Linked DNA regions of Astyanax mexicanus. The protein of the gene in region 1 binds, or shares a complex with, the protein of each later gene. Links are inferred from orthologs where the notes say so. Each region holds a gene or a part of one and is shown on either strand. Other genes may lie near its edges.

The links.
Region 2: the proteins of thoc5 (region 1) and thoc1 are in contact, whole or in part, in a cryo-EM structure (PDB 7APK), measured with the Homo sapiens proteins. The link is inferred for Astyanax mexicanus from reciprocal best matches to the Homo sapiens genes THOC5 and THOC1. Residues at the interface, in NP_001002877.1 of Homo sapiens: Tyr52, Arg113, Lys120, Asp124, His127, Leu128, Gln131, Asn132, Leu134, Tyr135, Glu136, Met138, His139, Thr145, Lys146, Glu149; in NP_005122.2 of Homo sapiens: Glu60, Arg145, Arg146, Leu147, Ser148, Ser150, Gln151, Lys285, Met286, Leu289, Val296, Tyr297, Phe298, Leu302, Ser304, Leu307, Leu310, Gln311, Ser313, Asp314.

What each region holds. Positions count from the first base shown.
Region 1 is NC_064409.1:52,841,108-52,848,773, forward strand, and holds the start of thoc5 (THO complex subunit 5 homolog), read right to left. Parts: upstream 3,077-7,666; 5' UTR 2,972-3,076; intron 1,832-2,971; 5' UTR 1,830-1,831; coding exon 1,734-1,829; intron 1,437-1,733; coding exon 1,374-1,436; intron 1,129-1,373; coding exon 985-1,128; intron 882-984; coding exon 768-881; intron 673-767; coding exon 575-672; intron 51-574; coding exon 1-50. Other genes in the region: zgc:158398 (transmembrane protein 248), read left to right, coding at 4,026-4,184, 4,506-4,764, 4,871-5,045, 5,131-5,290, 7,057-7,197, 7,345-7,371. UniProt on the Homo sapiens protein: Component of the THO subcomplex of the TREX complex which is thought to couple mRNA transcription, processing and nuclear export, and which specifically associates with spliced mRNA and not with unspliced pre-mRNA.
Region 2 is NC_064415.1:2,579,895-2,587,412, forward strand, and holds the start of thoc1 (THO complex subunit 1), read left to right. Parts: upstream 1-4,414; 5' UTR 4,415-4,465; coding exon 4,466-4,513; intron 4,514-6,244; coding exon 6,245-6,318; intron 6,319-7,518. UniProt on the Homo sapiens protein: Component of the THO subcomplex of the TREX complex which is thought to couple mRNA transcription, processing and nuclear export, and which specifically associates with spliced mRNA and not with unspliced pre-mRNA.

The DNA.
Region 1 (7,666 bases):
CCCGAAGAAAATCATCCACACTCACTAATTCTATCTCCTCATGCTGGGACCTAAACGTATACACACATATACGCTTTGTAACATAAACATTAACCATCTAAAATACAATTCTACTTACAAATGTGCTGGGTGCACAATAACATACTGAGATCTGTTTGAGTTTTAAAGACCAAAACTTGAGTGCTCAATCCTGGTCGTGTATGTTTTAACCACATTTCACAAGCACAGATCATCCTACCATCCCTAAACTTAAGTCGAGTTGATTGATATCTGACTACATTAAGCAAAAATAACAGTGAAAGGACCACCTGCTTATTTGAATATTAACTTTTCTTTGGAAAGTTCCTTGGTAGCTTTCAATGTTTGCATATGTTTAAATTATACATTCTAATGCAAGAGCACCTTTTTACTCGCTTTGGTAGACTGCCTGTGGTAAGTATTTACAGTTAATTGATAATTTACGTAAATTATGATTAATTTATGATAATTTTATGAATGAGATTTTTTGGGAACAAGCTGCTCAAGTTTGTACAAAAACATACAGTAGTATGTTTTTAAAAGGACAATAACTTACTTAAACTCAAGGCATTTGCCAATTTCTTTCTGAAGATGCATGACCTCATACAAAAGATTCTGAAGCTGCAGATGCAGCACATCCACTTTCTGCTTCGCCTGAAGAAACAGAAGAAAAGCAGTGGGTGGGTGAGAGACTATGTGCAAATAAACTAGAAAAGGAAGAGACGAAAAAGGGTGTTTCTTGTGAGTACCTCATGCGTCTGATCACGTCCTTTCTTCAGTCTCATGTGTGCCAAACGATTCAGCTTCTTCAGGGTAATGAAATGAACACAACCTTGTCTGAGCTTCTCCTCCACCTCCTCACTCTGTATATACAAACATGGGCATTTTAGTTATGCTGTTTAGCATCAACACTCCTTTCATCTTAGCCTGGGTTTATTTTTTTTTTTAAAAAAGAAAGAAACTTACTCCTTCTTTTGCACCATTGGCTTTAAGTTCTTGTATTTCAGCCATTAGTTTTGCCAAGGAGTCACAGGTACTTTTATAAAGGACGTAATCCTGTTCCGGGTCTCTGCCTTCCAATTCCACCTCCTCGTTATACACACGCACCTCCTAATGAAAACAAGCACTCAGGAATACATAGAGGTAGCAAATATTCACCTTTACTAGCTCTTTATACCAAAAACAGGCAATGTCTGAACAAACCTCTCTCTCTTACCTACTCTATCACAAATTTAGCATTTTATACCCTGCTCTCACCCAAGTGTGTACATACAAAGAGGTGGGTGCACCAGAAATAGGCTATGTAAGTCTTTTTTTAAAGAATAGAAATTAGAGCAGAGAGACTTTTGCTGGACCTTGTTCTTCACTGACAACAGCTTCTTCTGGTCCACATTGGAGACTCCAGCTGGAAATCTTCCCTACCAATACATTTCACATGAGTGTGGCATCAAAGAATCTCCAACATTTACTATTCACTCTAAATACAACCTAAAGTCTACAGCTTTAAGGGTGTTAAATATAAGCATGTAACACCCTTGTACACCCTCTGGACACTTGGATGTCAAAATGCTAAATGGATAGAGCAAAACTGAATCCTACTGAAGTCTTACTCCTACAAAAAATATATAACAGCTATGTACATGGAATCAGTTTCTGAGAAAACAGAACAGTCTCTCCAAAATTGTCATAATTAAGAGAAGGAAGATACCACTGACCTGATCCCCTTCACCTCGACCTCGTTTAGTTTCAGGAGTCCCGCCATCACTCCGGATTACTTTTGCCTTGCGCTTTTTCAGAGTGTCAGAAGACATGGCTAGAAAAAAATTGCCAAATTAAATCAAAGAACTCAGGGATATGTTCACTAGTGAAAGTAAGAGCATTTCCACACACACAATGTGAAGTAAACTCACATAATTGGAACTAAATGTTTTGACATTACATAAGCTTGTGGAAACAATGCCACTGTAATCAAATTTATAGGTGAAAAATCTGTGTGACCTTTTTTAGGACAAGCAGTGTATTTTGTCAACTGGCACATTAAGTACATTTTAAAAATACATAGAAGTGACAGATAATGTTTAGCGCCAGATGCTGCACATCTTAACACACTATTTTGAAATTAGATGGCATGTTGATATTTAAATCATGGGAGATAAAAACTGAGTCAGGCTACTAGACACTGCATGTACACAATCAATATATTTTTGTATTGTTTTTGGCTCAAAGGCATTGGTTTAAAATCATTTACATGCACTAAGTGACTGTTCGATTTTGACAAGTTAATTTTTACATGAAAAACAACAACCTAGTTACAAAAATGCATGTAGTGCAGGGATATCAGTGCAAAAATGAGCTTTCACATTTAGTTATTTAACACTCTAATAGGTCATACTGAAACTAAAATTCTATGTGTTTTGTCATCACCAAAAGAATCACTATCGCAAAAATACCATGAAATTTCGTGGTTATTTTAGGGCCATATCACCCACCTCTATTACCAAATCCTTAACCTAACTAACTTTGTACCTAGCTAGATAGATCAAGAGATAACCTAACTAGCAGCATGGACCTTCGGAATAAGAAATGCTAATGTTAGCCTGCTAATGCAATGTTAGCTTGCTAATATTTGGAACTGGGTCTCTAAGCACAGTGTTTTGCTATTAATCAGAACGCATTTGGATGGATAAACCCGCCCCAGTGAGATGTTTGGAAATATCTGTGTAACTTTTTAAATAAATAATGTAAGAGATAAAATTTTGAGAGGAAAGACTGGAGCTCACAGGATCCACCGACTAACTAACTAATACAGCGCAAATACCGCCACGGCCCCTCACATTTAGTATAAACGGAGATTTATTTACATAAACTTAAATAACAGACATCAAAAATACTTAGCTTCAATAATCACACTTTAATCAGGCGTGAGATATTTTAGACTATATAAAACAATTACCTCAGCAGCGCGGACAGAGGGGAACGATGTGTGAATTCAGAGACTACGGTGAATCTGTATCTGAACCCTGGTTAAAATAAAAGTCTCTTTTAAAAAGGAGCTGAATTGGTGGTATACTTCGTCTGTTAAGTACTTTTGTTTGCCTCAGTAAATCTATAATTTTAACCTTTACCCTTAAAAACAGAGAATAATAATAATAATAATAATAATAATAATAATAATAATAATAATAATAATAATAATAATAATAATAAAATACTAGATATACAGCTCTGAGACCACTTCAGTTTCTGAATTAGTTTGCTATTTATAGGTATATGTTTGAATAAAAAATAATAATAAATTCCAAATAAAAATATTGTCATTTAGAGCATTTATTTGCAGAAAATGCAGAAATTAAAAAAAAAACTGCAGAGCTGTTCTTTATGGCTGCTGGTATTTACTATTAAATAATGTAGTTGTTGCCCAGAAGTGTTCTTTATTCAACGGTCAACTTAACGTCCCACATTGAAAAATATAACTTTTCGTGAAAAGCATTTCAATGTGTAAACTCGTGTTTTGTTTCCACATGCACTTAAAACACGCCGTTCTTAACGTATCAAAAAGTAAGTCTAATCTATGAAAAGACGTTGCAAATCATTAAATTCGCTTATTTACTATGTCTGTTGCAACGTCACTCTAATCCCAGCAGGACTTTTATTTTGAAACATGAACTAAAGTCCCTCTTCGCTCCCACCTGAGGAAGTCAAGTGTGTACTTACTATTGTTGTACTTAAAGAGTTAACATTGCTTTTAACGTCTAATCGGTAGTATCTGTGCAGTGTTGACTCTAAAACAATATAACGTATTGTTCACTCTGCTCAGGTTCATTGCCCAGTATTCCTCTGGGATAGCTAACTTAAGCAAATGAAAGGTACGGTTTTTTTTAGCTCAAAGGTCTGATTAGATCATTGATTAATATTCTAATCAGTTAAAGTCAGCTTACATACCTGCCAATACTCTTACTTGTATGTGTTTCAGGTGGTGCTTGTGTTGAGGGTTTTTGTAACACACCATGGCTCAGTGGCAGCCTGTAACAAATCTGAGGTTTAAACTTGTCCATCATCCGCCTGTTGTTGTTTTTTTTCTCTGCCTGCTGATCCTGGCTGGAGCCTTTATTGGAATTGGGATATACTCGAAACAACATGACATTAAGAACCCAGACATCAGCTTGGTAACTATGTTTGTATATGTTTATCAGAGTACTGAGGCTAGAAGGCTAGACCCTAAAGGAACTGGTTTGTCACACAATGTAATATTTACTATTCATAGTTTTATACAGCTTAATAATAATGCTGGTGCAACAACATTGATATGATATAAGTCTGTCTAAAGATCCTTGGTGATCAATCATCCATTACTTTGGATAACAAACATGTATTACCACATGTTTCTAGTCATCTATTCCCTGCAATGCACTTCTGTAAATCAGAATTTTATCTAATTTTACTAAATGTTTCTATAGGCCTAAAAGAGTCCTCTATATTTGTTTTAGGACTGGAATCAAATACTGGGATCAATTGCAAGCCTGAGGTACTGCACAGATGTAAACAATACAGACCTGTTGGGTGGGAAACAAGAGGATGAATCCCCTCTGCTATTAGATCATGGAGTTGGAACCTTCTCAAATGCTTCCCAAGACACTAGAGGAGTTGTTCATGTGTCCCTACTTGTACCTCTGGTGTGCACTGAAAATGATCCAAGTCACAACAGCATTAGTGCTACATTATTGGGAAGCCAGTTAGGCCTAAAGGGTGTGTATGTGCTCCTGTATTTGGTCTATAAAAATGAATGCTATTCATTGGATTGATTTTTCAAAAACTGTCCAGCGTTCATTTATTGAACCTTTTCTCTCCCCAGGTGTTGCTGGAAAGGAGTTATTTAACATATCTTTGTTCTTGCACCTCCAATCTCAAATATCAAGCACAGTCTCTAACTCTGCCTTTGATCCAAAATTGCCTACTGAGGCTGAAACGAAGCCTTCCATGTCCTGCTTGAAAATTTCAGCTCCAGCTCACCTTCTCCCGCTGAGATCGTAAGCAACTACCAAATAGAAGTTCATAAATGTGTGTTTTTTTTTTAGATTATATACCTGTATGCTGAATTGAGTATATTTTCAGGGAACCTCCAGAATGCCCTGCAAACTACAACCCAGAGAAGGATATTTCTCCTGTCAGAGTCTTTGCTACAGAATCATACAGGCAGGATTCTGATAATGCATCTCCATGCCTCATCTTAAAGTTTACACCTGACCCCAAACTGACTGTGCTACTTACTCAGGTAAAAAACATATGATCAAATATCATAACAAATTTGAATATTATGGTCATATTCTTTTTTCTACTGTCCATCTTGTCTGCTTACTGATTATAAGAAGATTTATAGTTTTTAAATTACAGAATGTAGTCCTTTCGATTTCTCATGCTTTGTCCTCTTCTATTTACCCTATTCGTCAATAGCCAGGACTTCACAGGCCTATCATAGAGCAGGCATTTGGGTTGTTAGGTTATTCTCAACACTACTGACACAGTGATTGTGTTAATGTCTTGAACAGACACAGCAGTGCTGCTGGAGTTCTTAAACACTGTTTACTCCATTAGACAGCTACCTAGCTAGCTAGATCTACCTCGTAGATGGTAAGTCGTAGAGGTGGTCCTAACATTCTTATATAAAAAGTGCATATTACCCAGTTACTATAGCATGTGGACGCGCACACCCCAGAAACGGGTAATAGTCAACTTTAAATTTCAGTCCATCGGTTTAAAAAATAAACTTACTAAAAGATTCTTCCTTGTCAGACAAGCACTTTTATGCATCTTTTTAGACACAATCACAAACCACTACCACCACCTGTACAAAACTTTTGCTGATGTGAGGAGAATTTTATGTTTCTGGTTTCCTGCAACTTACTTTGTAGTAAATTTACTTTTGTTCTGATCCCTGACACTCACTCCACAATAAGCTATTTTTGGGAAGATTCTGAGACTAATGTATAGTTTTCCATCTTGTTACAAGTGTTTTTTTAATGTACATGTGCATGAAGGAAATCTTTTTTTGTTTTTTACTGTTATTGTACAGTGAGTTGATAAACCTTACTTTACTTTTAACATAATGCAGACTGTTTTGTGAGTCTGTGTGGTAGTGTGAGTGGGAAAAGGACACTGAAAAACATTTTTTGTTCTGGTTTTGGCTTTTTGCATATGTACCTTGTATTCAGATTTATTTGATAGTTTAGACCGCAAAAAAGAAGGCGGCAAAAAGAAATACAGTTTGGAACATTTGGATTTAATGTGGATTTTTCAGACAACTTCTAAAGACTGTGGATGTTCTAACTGCCCAAACCATTTTAAAATGTCTTTTGCATCACTCGCAACGCAACAGTAACCACATCAAATCCAGAGTAACAAAAGTCTGGAGATCCAACAGCATGGCCAGGTTACTGTCGGCCATGTTGTTACTAAAGCAACCTATGCAGATAGGTTTGTGACGCCTAAACATGCAAATTCCGTATGATCACTTGCAATTATCAGTGTTGGACAGACATTTTCAGAACTCCCTCATACCAGCAGTATGAACATAGGCTTTTCGGGTAAATAGCTAGTAAGCATTAATGCCCCACTATCTAAATAGCTAGACTGAAATGCATGCATTAATCCTAATGTGACAGTTCTACATGTGCAACAATAAGCATGAAAAAATTTTGTGCACTCACACGTCAATTTATTAGCATAATCTGTTCAGACAAATGTCAACATAGTTGCCACTTTACCTGCTTTCAGAATGTAGAACCTGATCATCAAGGAATCCTAGGAATCTGCTAGATTGTCTTTCCCATCAACCCATGTTTTTGGGTTCACACATGGGATAATCATGTTTTGTTTTACATACCTTGCCCTTTACACCAACATCGTATATCATAGTATTTTTCTCTTTGATCCAGTCTTTAATTGTCCACTATCTTGTAGCAGTTCCTTGATCAGTGCGCAGCTGGAAATGGTGTCTTTTCATACAATGTACTAACCTTTCTGCTGCATCTCCCTTCCTAGGAAGAGAAAGCACTAGCTAGATATCATCTGATGCTGGTGAGCGTTGTGCTGTTGGCTGTCTGCAGCATGATGTGCCTTACTGGAACTCTTACCTGCTCCAGGCCTCGGCGTCACCTTGCCAACGATCTTCATTTCCAAAAGGTGAGGAACCAAACACTTTATTTGATGTTCATGGATGAACTTAATTTGGTTCTTTACACAATGTGCTCAAAAATCCATAAATTTTTGTAAATAAATTGCTTGTCATGTACAGACACCTTTACTGAAATGTGCAATTTCATATTACAGGTGACTGCTGGGGTCCTGAGCATGTGACATTCATGTTGAAAAGTAAACAAAAGACCATCATTTTTTTTAAGTGTGTTTCCTATATATTTAAATTAATAAGTTTATTAAACACTTTCACTCTTTGAGGTGTAATCATTGCATTAAAATGTTGTTCCAACTTTGTCTTCCTGCTCACCTCGTCTTCTGTGCTCTGCATATTACAATTTGTAAAGACAATAGAAAAAGGATGCGTCGGATATTCAGCAACCAGAATTGTCTAAGATGGGAAAAATGTACACTAAACAATGAAGTGAAAGTGTTACAATAAATTACAATTTTGGAA
Region 2 (7,518 bases), on another chromosome or scaffold:
CTATTGGCTGCCGCTTCTCACCGGTGTGTGGATGTAAAAATGTGCTTGTGTGTAAAAAAAAAACAAAACTTGTAATTGTAAAGCGTCCTTGTGTTTCTAGAAAGGCGCTATATAAGTTGAACTTCATTCATTCATACTGTTTCAGCTGCATATATGCTGATTATAAATCAATGTATTTTAGTAGAATGTAAAGATTGCATAAATTTCCTTCGGGATAAATAAAGTATCTATGTATCTATTTATCTATCTATCTATCTATCTATCTATCTATCTATCTATCTATCTCTCTATCTATCTATTAAAGAAGTTTAGTTGGACTGGAGTTTGTCTCTGCACGGATCATCTTCATACTAGACTACATATAGAGTGTTAAGAGTATATACACGCATACTATACTCAGTCTATAATGTGAAAGAGTGCACGGCTCAGTGAAGTGCTGATTCTGTATCACCAGTCTAGCGTTCACAGCTCTGCAGTTCCTGCAGTCTAGGCGTGCCAGTATAGGGCATGTTTAAGTTTGGCTTGCAAAAGTATTCAAACCCCTTGAACTTTTTCATGTTGTCTCGTTACAACCACAAACTTAAATGTATTTTATTGAGATTTTAAATGATGGACCAACACAAAGTGGCACATCATTGTTAAGTGTAAAGAAAATTATTTTTTGCTGTTTTTTTTTTTATTTGAAAAAGTGTGACGTGCAAAAGTATTCACCCTTTATCAATAGTTGCTGTAGTAGAGCCTTGTTTCACTGTAATTATAGCTGCAGGTCTTATGGGGTTTGTATCTACCAGCTTTGATCATCTAGAGACTGAGATTTTTATGAATATTCTCTGATCTAAACAATTAAATCATTCCACTGTAGCTCTGGCTGTATGTTTAGGGTCATCGTCTTGCTGGAAGATCTCAAGTCTTTTACAGCCTCCAACAGCTTTTCTTCTTCCAGGATTGTTCTGTATTTATTTATCTTCATCCATCTTCCATCCATCAACTCTGACCAGCTTCCTAAATCTGTCCCTGCTGAAGAAAAAAGCGTCCCCACAGCATGATGCTGCCACCACCATGTTTCACAGTGGGGATGGTGTGTACAGGTTGATGAGCAGCATTACTTTTCCGCCACACATAGCAATTTACATTTAGGCTAAAAAGTTCAACTTTGGTCTCATCTGACCACAGAACTTTCTTCTTCCACATGTTTGCTGTGTTCCTATATGGTTTTCTTGTGGCTACAAACTGCAAACAGCACTTCTTACGTCTTTCTTTCAACAATGGTTTTCTTCTTGCCACTCTTATATAAATTCCAGATTTGTATAAAAAGGTTGCATGACTTATAGTTGTCCTGTGGACAGATTCTCCTGATCCACCTGATCTGTGGATCTCTGCAGCTCCTCCAGAGTGACCATGGGTAGCTTTACAGGCCAACCTTCTTGGAACATTTTTAAAATGTTTCTAAATGTTCTTATAATGTTCTTTTTTATCTGAGTTGTCTTTAGCTCATCTTGAGTTAAATTGTTCATCACAGTTATGTTGGCATCGCTCTCACATCACTTTACTGTGTGTGTGTGTGTGTGTGTGTGTGTGTCACTCTCTGTTAGCTGACAGTGAACTGGAGTGGAGAAACGAGGACAGGCTCTTGTTTACTCTCGGAAAACAATGTGTGTTTTTTTGCAAAATCTGGCAACCGACAATGAGATGCCACAGGCTTTGTTTTCATTGATGAAGCTGCAGTGTGTTTATTTGTGTTCCCATTCTGTCTCTTTTCTATTTACGTCTCCCTCACACACTCACACACCCACAACATGTGGCCACAAGTAGTTGGACAGCACTCGTTACGAGTCAATTCAGCTTTATTTTTGTACATGCAATGCCAGGATTCATGGAGCTCAGATTGTAAAAGAGTGCAGAGTTCAGGGAGCATGAGATCATCATCTTCACACATGGATTCTCCAACACAGAGTCCACACCTTAACCCTTATTGAGAATCTTTGGGATGTGCTGGAGAAGACTTTCAGTAAATACACCACAACAACCTCACAGCAACACCTAGGCAACCAACATCTTTCCAATGTAACCACACAGCAACATCTTAGCAACCAACATCTTTTTAAAATAACCACACAGCAACACCATAGCACCCAACACCTTTCCAAAGAAACCTTGTAGAAACACATCAGGAACCCCTCAGTTAACACCTGGTACATCACAGCAACCTCACAGAAACAACTTAGCAACCAATTTTCCAAAGTGATTGTGGGGTTAGTGAGTCTGGAGCAGTGGCGATTGCTCTAAGACTGCAAGGGAAGCTCAGCTTCCCCTAAAATGTAAAAAATAAGTGATTAAATATATACTGTTGTGTGTACATGTCACTGATTAAATATGCGCTACACCGCGCTGAACTTAGTTCAGAATCAGCCTCTTATCACTGGTAACGCCGCGGCTTTCCTCTCACTCATTCCCGCAGCTTCACAGCGCTGCTTTAAACAGTGCACACACTTCAATAGCGGAGCAAAGCGCGCGGCCAAACCAGACGAGTCATTGGATAAACGCTGGGCTTTGTCCCGCCCATCGGACGCTCAGCGTCTCTGGGGGTCTATGGGGCAGTGGGCTGGCCTCGGCTTCTGCATGATGATTGGATGACCTGTCTGAAGCGGAGTCTCTTTTTGATTGACAGCGAAATGAGCGAATCAGCGATCTTTTAGTGTAAAATATGTGATGGGAGCATTTCCATTCTGTTCTGAGTCGAACCGGAGACTTTCCTAATCCTTATAGCGGCATTTTCTTAATTAAAAACGACTAGCGACAAATCCAGCTTCTATTTCTGGTGCTTTTCTGTAGCTTCTGTAGACTTCTATCACTCTTTCTGACTTTTATCACTCTTTTCTATCGAAGTTTCCCGTCACAAAGCACTCACAGACGGACACACTTTTCAGCTGTACTGGTTTGATAAAGTGAGCTGGCTGACTGGAAGTGCTGTAACAAATAAAATGTACCGATGGCCATTCCTCTTAATGAAACCATCTCAGGACATAAATGAACAGGGGCCAGTAGTAAGTATTGTGTTATCATTAAAAATAATTTAAATAATTTAAATTAATAAATGGATTATTTAAGGAAATTAAAACTGTCATTTTAACTGTGATTTAACTGATCATTTTATGTTTATTCATGTCATAGCGTCTTTTTTATGTAATTGTTCAATGTAAAGAATGGGTACCTTTTGGTTGTGTAGTGAAAACTTGAAAATAATGCCTTTTGTTTACAAAAAAAAAACATCTCAGGGAGAGTAGAATTTTTGTATAAATAAAACTACATATGTTAAGATTTAGGCCGAAATTGAGCTTCCCCTCCTTGAAAGACCAGCATCCGCCACTGATCTGTAGTGAGTCTGTAGTGAACAGAGCAGATCCGTAGGTCATTAGCAGTAGTGAGTCTGTGGTGAGTCTGTAGTGAACAGAGCAGAGCGATCACTGTACAGAAATCAGATCTGCAGGTCATTAGCAGCTCAGTGTTTAAATGGGTTTTATGGGAAAAGTCATTATTTTACACTTTAATGCAAATCAAGCTCTCAGAATAAGCCATTACTGTAAAGTGGAGAAACCCGAGACTTTTATTACTGTAATCAGAAACATCAGCACCACCACACACATATATTTACTCCCAACCAGAACAATAAATACAAACTGGTTCAGTTTCATAATTTATATTAAATCTACATTATTCTAAATGTAATGTATCTCTACATTAATCTAATATTAATATAATGCTCATTAATTAATTAACTAATTTATTTACACATTTACTTATATATTCAATACTTAATTCACTCACCCATTCATTGATTAAATTAATTATTAATAATTGTATTTGAATAAATCTTTCACTTCCCATTCTTCTGCTTCTTCTTCTTCTTCTTCTTCTTCTTCCTCTTCCTCTTCTACTTCTTTTTTAATGTTATTATTAATCATTTATTCACAGAAATGTAATTCATTACACATTTATTTTTTATTCATTCATTCAATTAAATGAATTATTGTTTTATTTCTTAATTAATCTAGTTTTCCTTTTGTTGTAGTAGTAGGTGTTTTTCTTCATAGTTTGAAAGAGTTTAGTACTATATACATATAATGCAGAACAATATAAAACTATTTAAAATAATTAAAAAATAATTTATGTATTTAAGGTGTGTCAAATTTCTTTACGCTTATTATATATTGTTTTATTTTTTACGTCAAAATATGTTATGAACTCATTACATGTTCTATGCTTCTTATATAAATTAATTCATTTTTTGATAATTGTTTTTTTTTCTAATTTCTGATAGCATTTTTTCTCAGAGCCAGCAATGACTTTTATTTTGTAAAGTGTAATTTTCTCGGCGGGCCGGTGGCGCCCCCTGCTGGTGGAGGTGCGGTTTGCAGGCAGTAAATGACCCGGATGTGTAGCAGTAAGGAGGGCTGTAGCGGTAAAGATGTCTCCCGGCGTGTTTAACCTGCTGGAAGCGCGGGAGAAACTCACGGTAAAAACACGCTTTTAGACTCGTTTTTACTGTAGTTTTAGTGCAGTTTTACTCTATAACAGCTGTAGATGAAAAAGCTGTGCTGTTTGGGCGGGTAGCGCCTTATTAAGGCATGTTTTTTCACTGTGTTTATGGAGAGGCTGTAGCTTTTCTGCGTAACTCTCCGGTCCACCTTAAATACCGTCGCTGTTTCATTGTAGTGCTGAGAGGCGATAGACAGCAGCTAATGCTCAATTTAAGGTAGAACGGGTAATTCAAAGAAACGTTGCTGATTCAGATGTTCAGTGTTTATGGAAACTCAAGCTATTGAACTGAATTACTTATAGAGCTGAGCAATATACCGATTTCTTATCCTATCGTGATTAATTTTCTCATCATTTCGACAATATGCTTTTTTTCAAAGAATATCGTTGATGTTTTTAGGGTTTGTTTAAAAAAATATTGATTAGTTTTTTAAATATAGACGATTTTTAAAAGAATATCAGCAATATGCTTTTTTTTTTAGGAAAATCGGCGATATGCTTTTTTTTAAAGAATATCGATTATGTAGGGTTTTTTTTTTTAGAATATAAATATTTTTTTAAACAAAGACGATTTATTTTAATCAACTAAAGTTATATGCTCTTTTTTTAAAAGAACATCAACGATATAACTTTTTTAAAAAAAATTCTTTTTATTTTAGGAAAATCAGTGATAATGTTTTTTAAGAATATCAATGATTGTTTTTTTTTATAGATATGCCTTTTTTAAGAATATCGACAATATGATAAATAATTAAAGTGCACTGTCCCAACTGAAGCTACATTTCATTACAGACTGTAAAAATATCAATTTAATTGGATAATGTACAGCAAAAATATAATAATCACTGTACTGATTATAAAAGAGCATTTGAATATCTGAATAGCAGAATCTACCACTTTTACTTAATTTAGATTTCGTCTCAAAACATGATTATTGCTGTGTATCATTAAAAACTGTTCTTAAATATTGTGATATATTTTTATCTTTTTGCCCAGCTCTGTCAGCGTGTGAAATACATACTACAGTCATGGCTGAAAGTGTTGGTAACTTTTACCAACCAATTTTACCAGAAAATAAAAAAATGTTTTTGCCAGAAAATGACTGCAGATGCACGTTTATACACGTTTTTCTGCTGTTGTTTTTATAGGTTTGTGCCAACCATTCAGTGCTTTATTTTTTGTTTTACATTCCATATAACTAATTCTGACCTGATTTTTTAGAACAAAATGATTTATGAATTTGGCGTCATTTATCTTTCAACAAAATTTTACCTTAAAACATTAAGTCATGTTTTTACAAAAAAACAAAAAAAAAACATGAATGATCTGTAAACATGAATCAGTTTTGAGTTTAGCCTCATTATTCAGAAAATAGCTTGGGCTCTTATGGGTTGCCATTATTATTAATATGAAAAATGGGTAAATAATCTCAATTATTAAAACAGAAATGAAATAACTCCACTGTTTTTTAAGCAGAAGAAAGTTTACACGCTGTGTTATCCAGGTAAAGGGCTCCTCCCACTGAGTAATAACAGAATGGGTAAAACTGAAATCAGCAGAAATGATATTATGCATGTTATGTATGTGTGTTGTATGATTGACAGGGTGAAAGAAGCGGATGAAGTGGACGTTGAATGGACAAAAAAGTCTAATAATTGTATTATTAATGTATATATGATTAAATATAAGTTGTGTATCTCCTCTGCAGGCGGGTACAGGAAGTGCTCTGGGAGCTCGGAGCTGTAAACCCCTCACCAGCGCCTTCAGTCACCTGTCTGGAACGTGAGTTTCTGATTTAGAGTTTAGATTTCTGCCTGAACCCGAACCGAACTCGGGTCCTCTCGGGTCGGGCTCGAGAAAATGATCTTATAAAGTAATTCTGCATACACTATAAAAAACAACTCTATGGTAATATTGCAATATTTATTTTGCTGTTTACTGTATTTACTTATAATTATGTGTTTATAAAATATATGTTTATATAATGAACTAAATATGCTTTTTTTTCTTTGTTGCATGGCTTTATTTATGGTTTTTCATGTCTGTTTTATGATTAAATAAAAACTGTGAAGTATCTAGTAGAGAACCTTCTCCACAATGAGACACAAGCCCGGAAGAAAAATAAAATAAATGAATATTTTTAACTAAAAATAATAAAAATATTGCTTCGATCAAATCAAGTCAAGAGGTTTTTTATTGTCATTATATCTGAGTACAGGTACACAGTGTAGTGAAATTAAGGGTGTACTCACACTAGGCAATCCGAACCGGGCCCGGGCACGGTTACCTCCCAAAGCACGGTTCGTTTGGCTAGTGTGATCGCTCCGAACCGTGCCCGGGCCCGCTTGGAGAGGTGGGCCCAAGCACGGTTCACTTGGACCCGGGCACGGTACAGATGCAGTGTGAGCGCAAACCGTGCCCGGGCACGGATCAAGATGACGTCAGTGATGCGACGCTACTGTAAACGGAGGACGTTTTATACACAATTCTGCATATAATATTTTTGAAAAGGGTTCTAAAGAGCACCATAATGGTTAGTGTTACCCATAATAAATTAGGACTACTATCTACAAGTCCTAAACAACAAACACATTTTATTATTACTTGAGTTTTATGTTTCGCTCCTTTGGTCACTATTTATGTATATAGCAAGTACGTCTCTTACCTTACTGATGAACGTGAATTGTAGTCCGCGAGTAAAGCTGCAAATTTCTCCCTGGACGTCTGCTGCTTGTGTAAAAACCTTCTTACACGTGCAGCACGATTAGCAGTAAATCGTTGTGTTGCACAATCAATGAATCTCTGGTTCAGTTGCGTATTTGCACGCCCAAAACGACTCCAGATAAACAAAAACAACAGTACAATCCTGAACTCCATTGTTTTGCGCGCGCATACTGTTCTTCAAAACAAAAGTCGCCTGTTGATGACGAAAGCGTGCTCGGGCACGGATCGTTTAGCGCAGTGTGAGTGCAGGACTGCGGG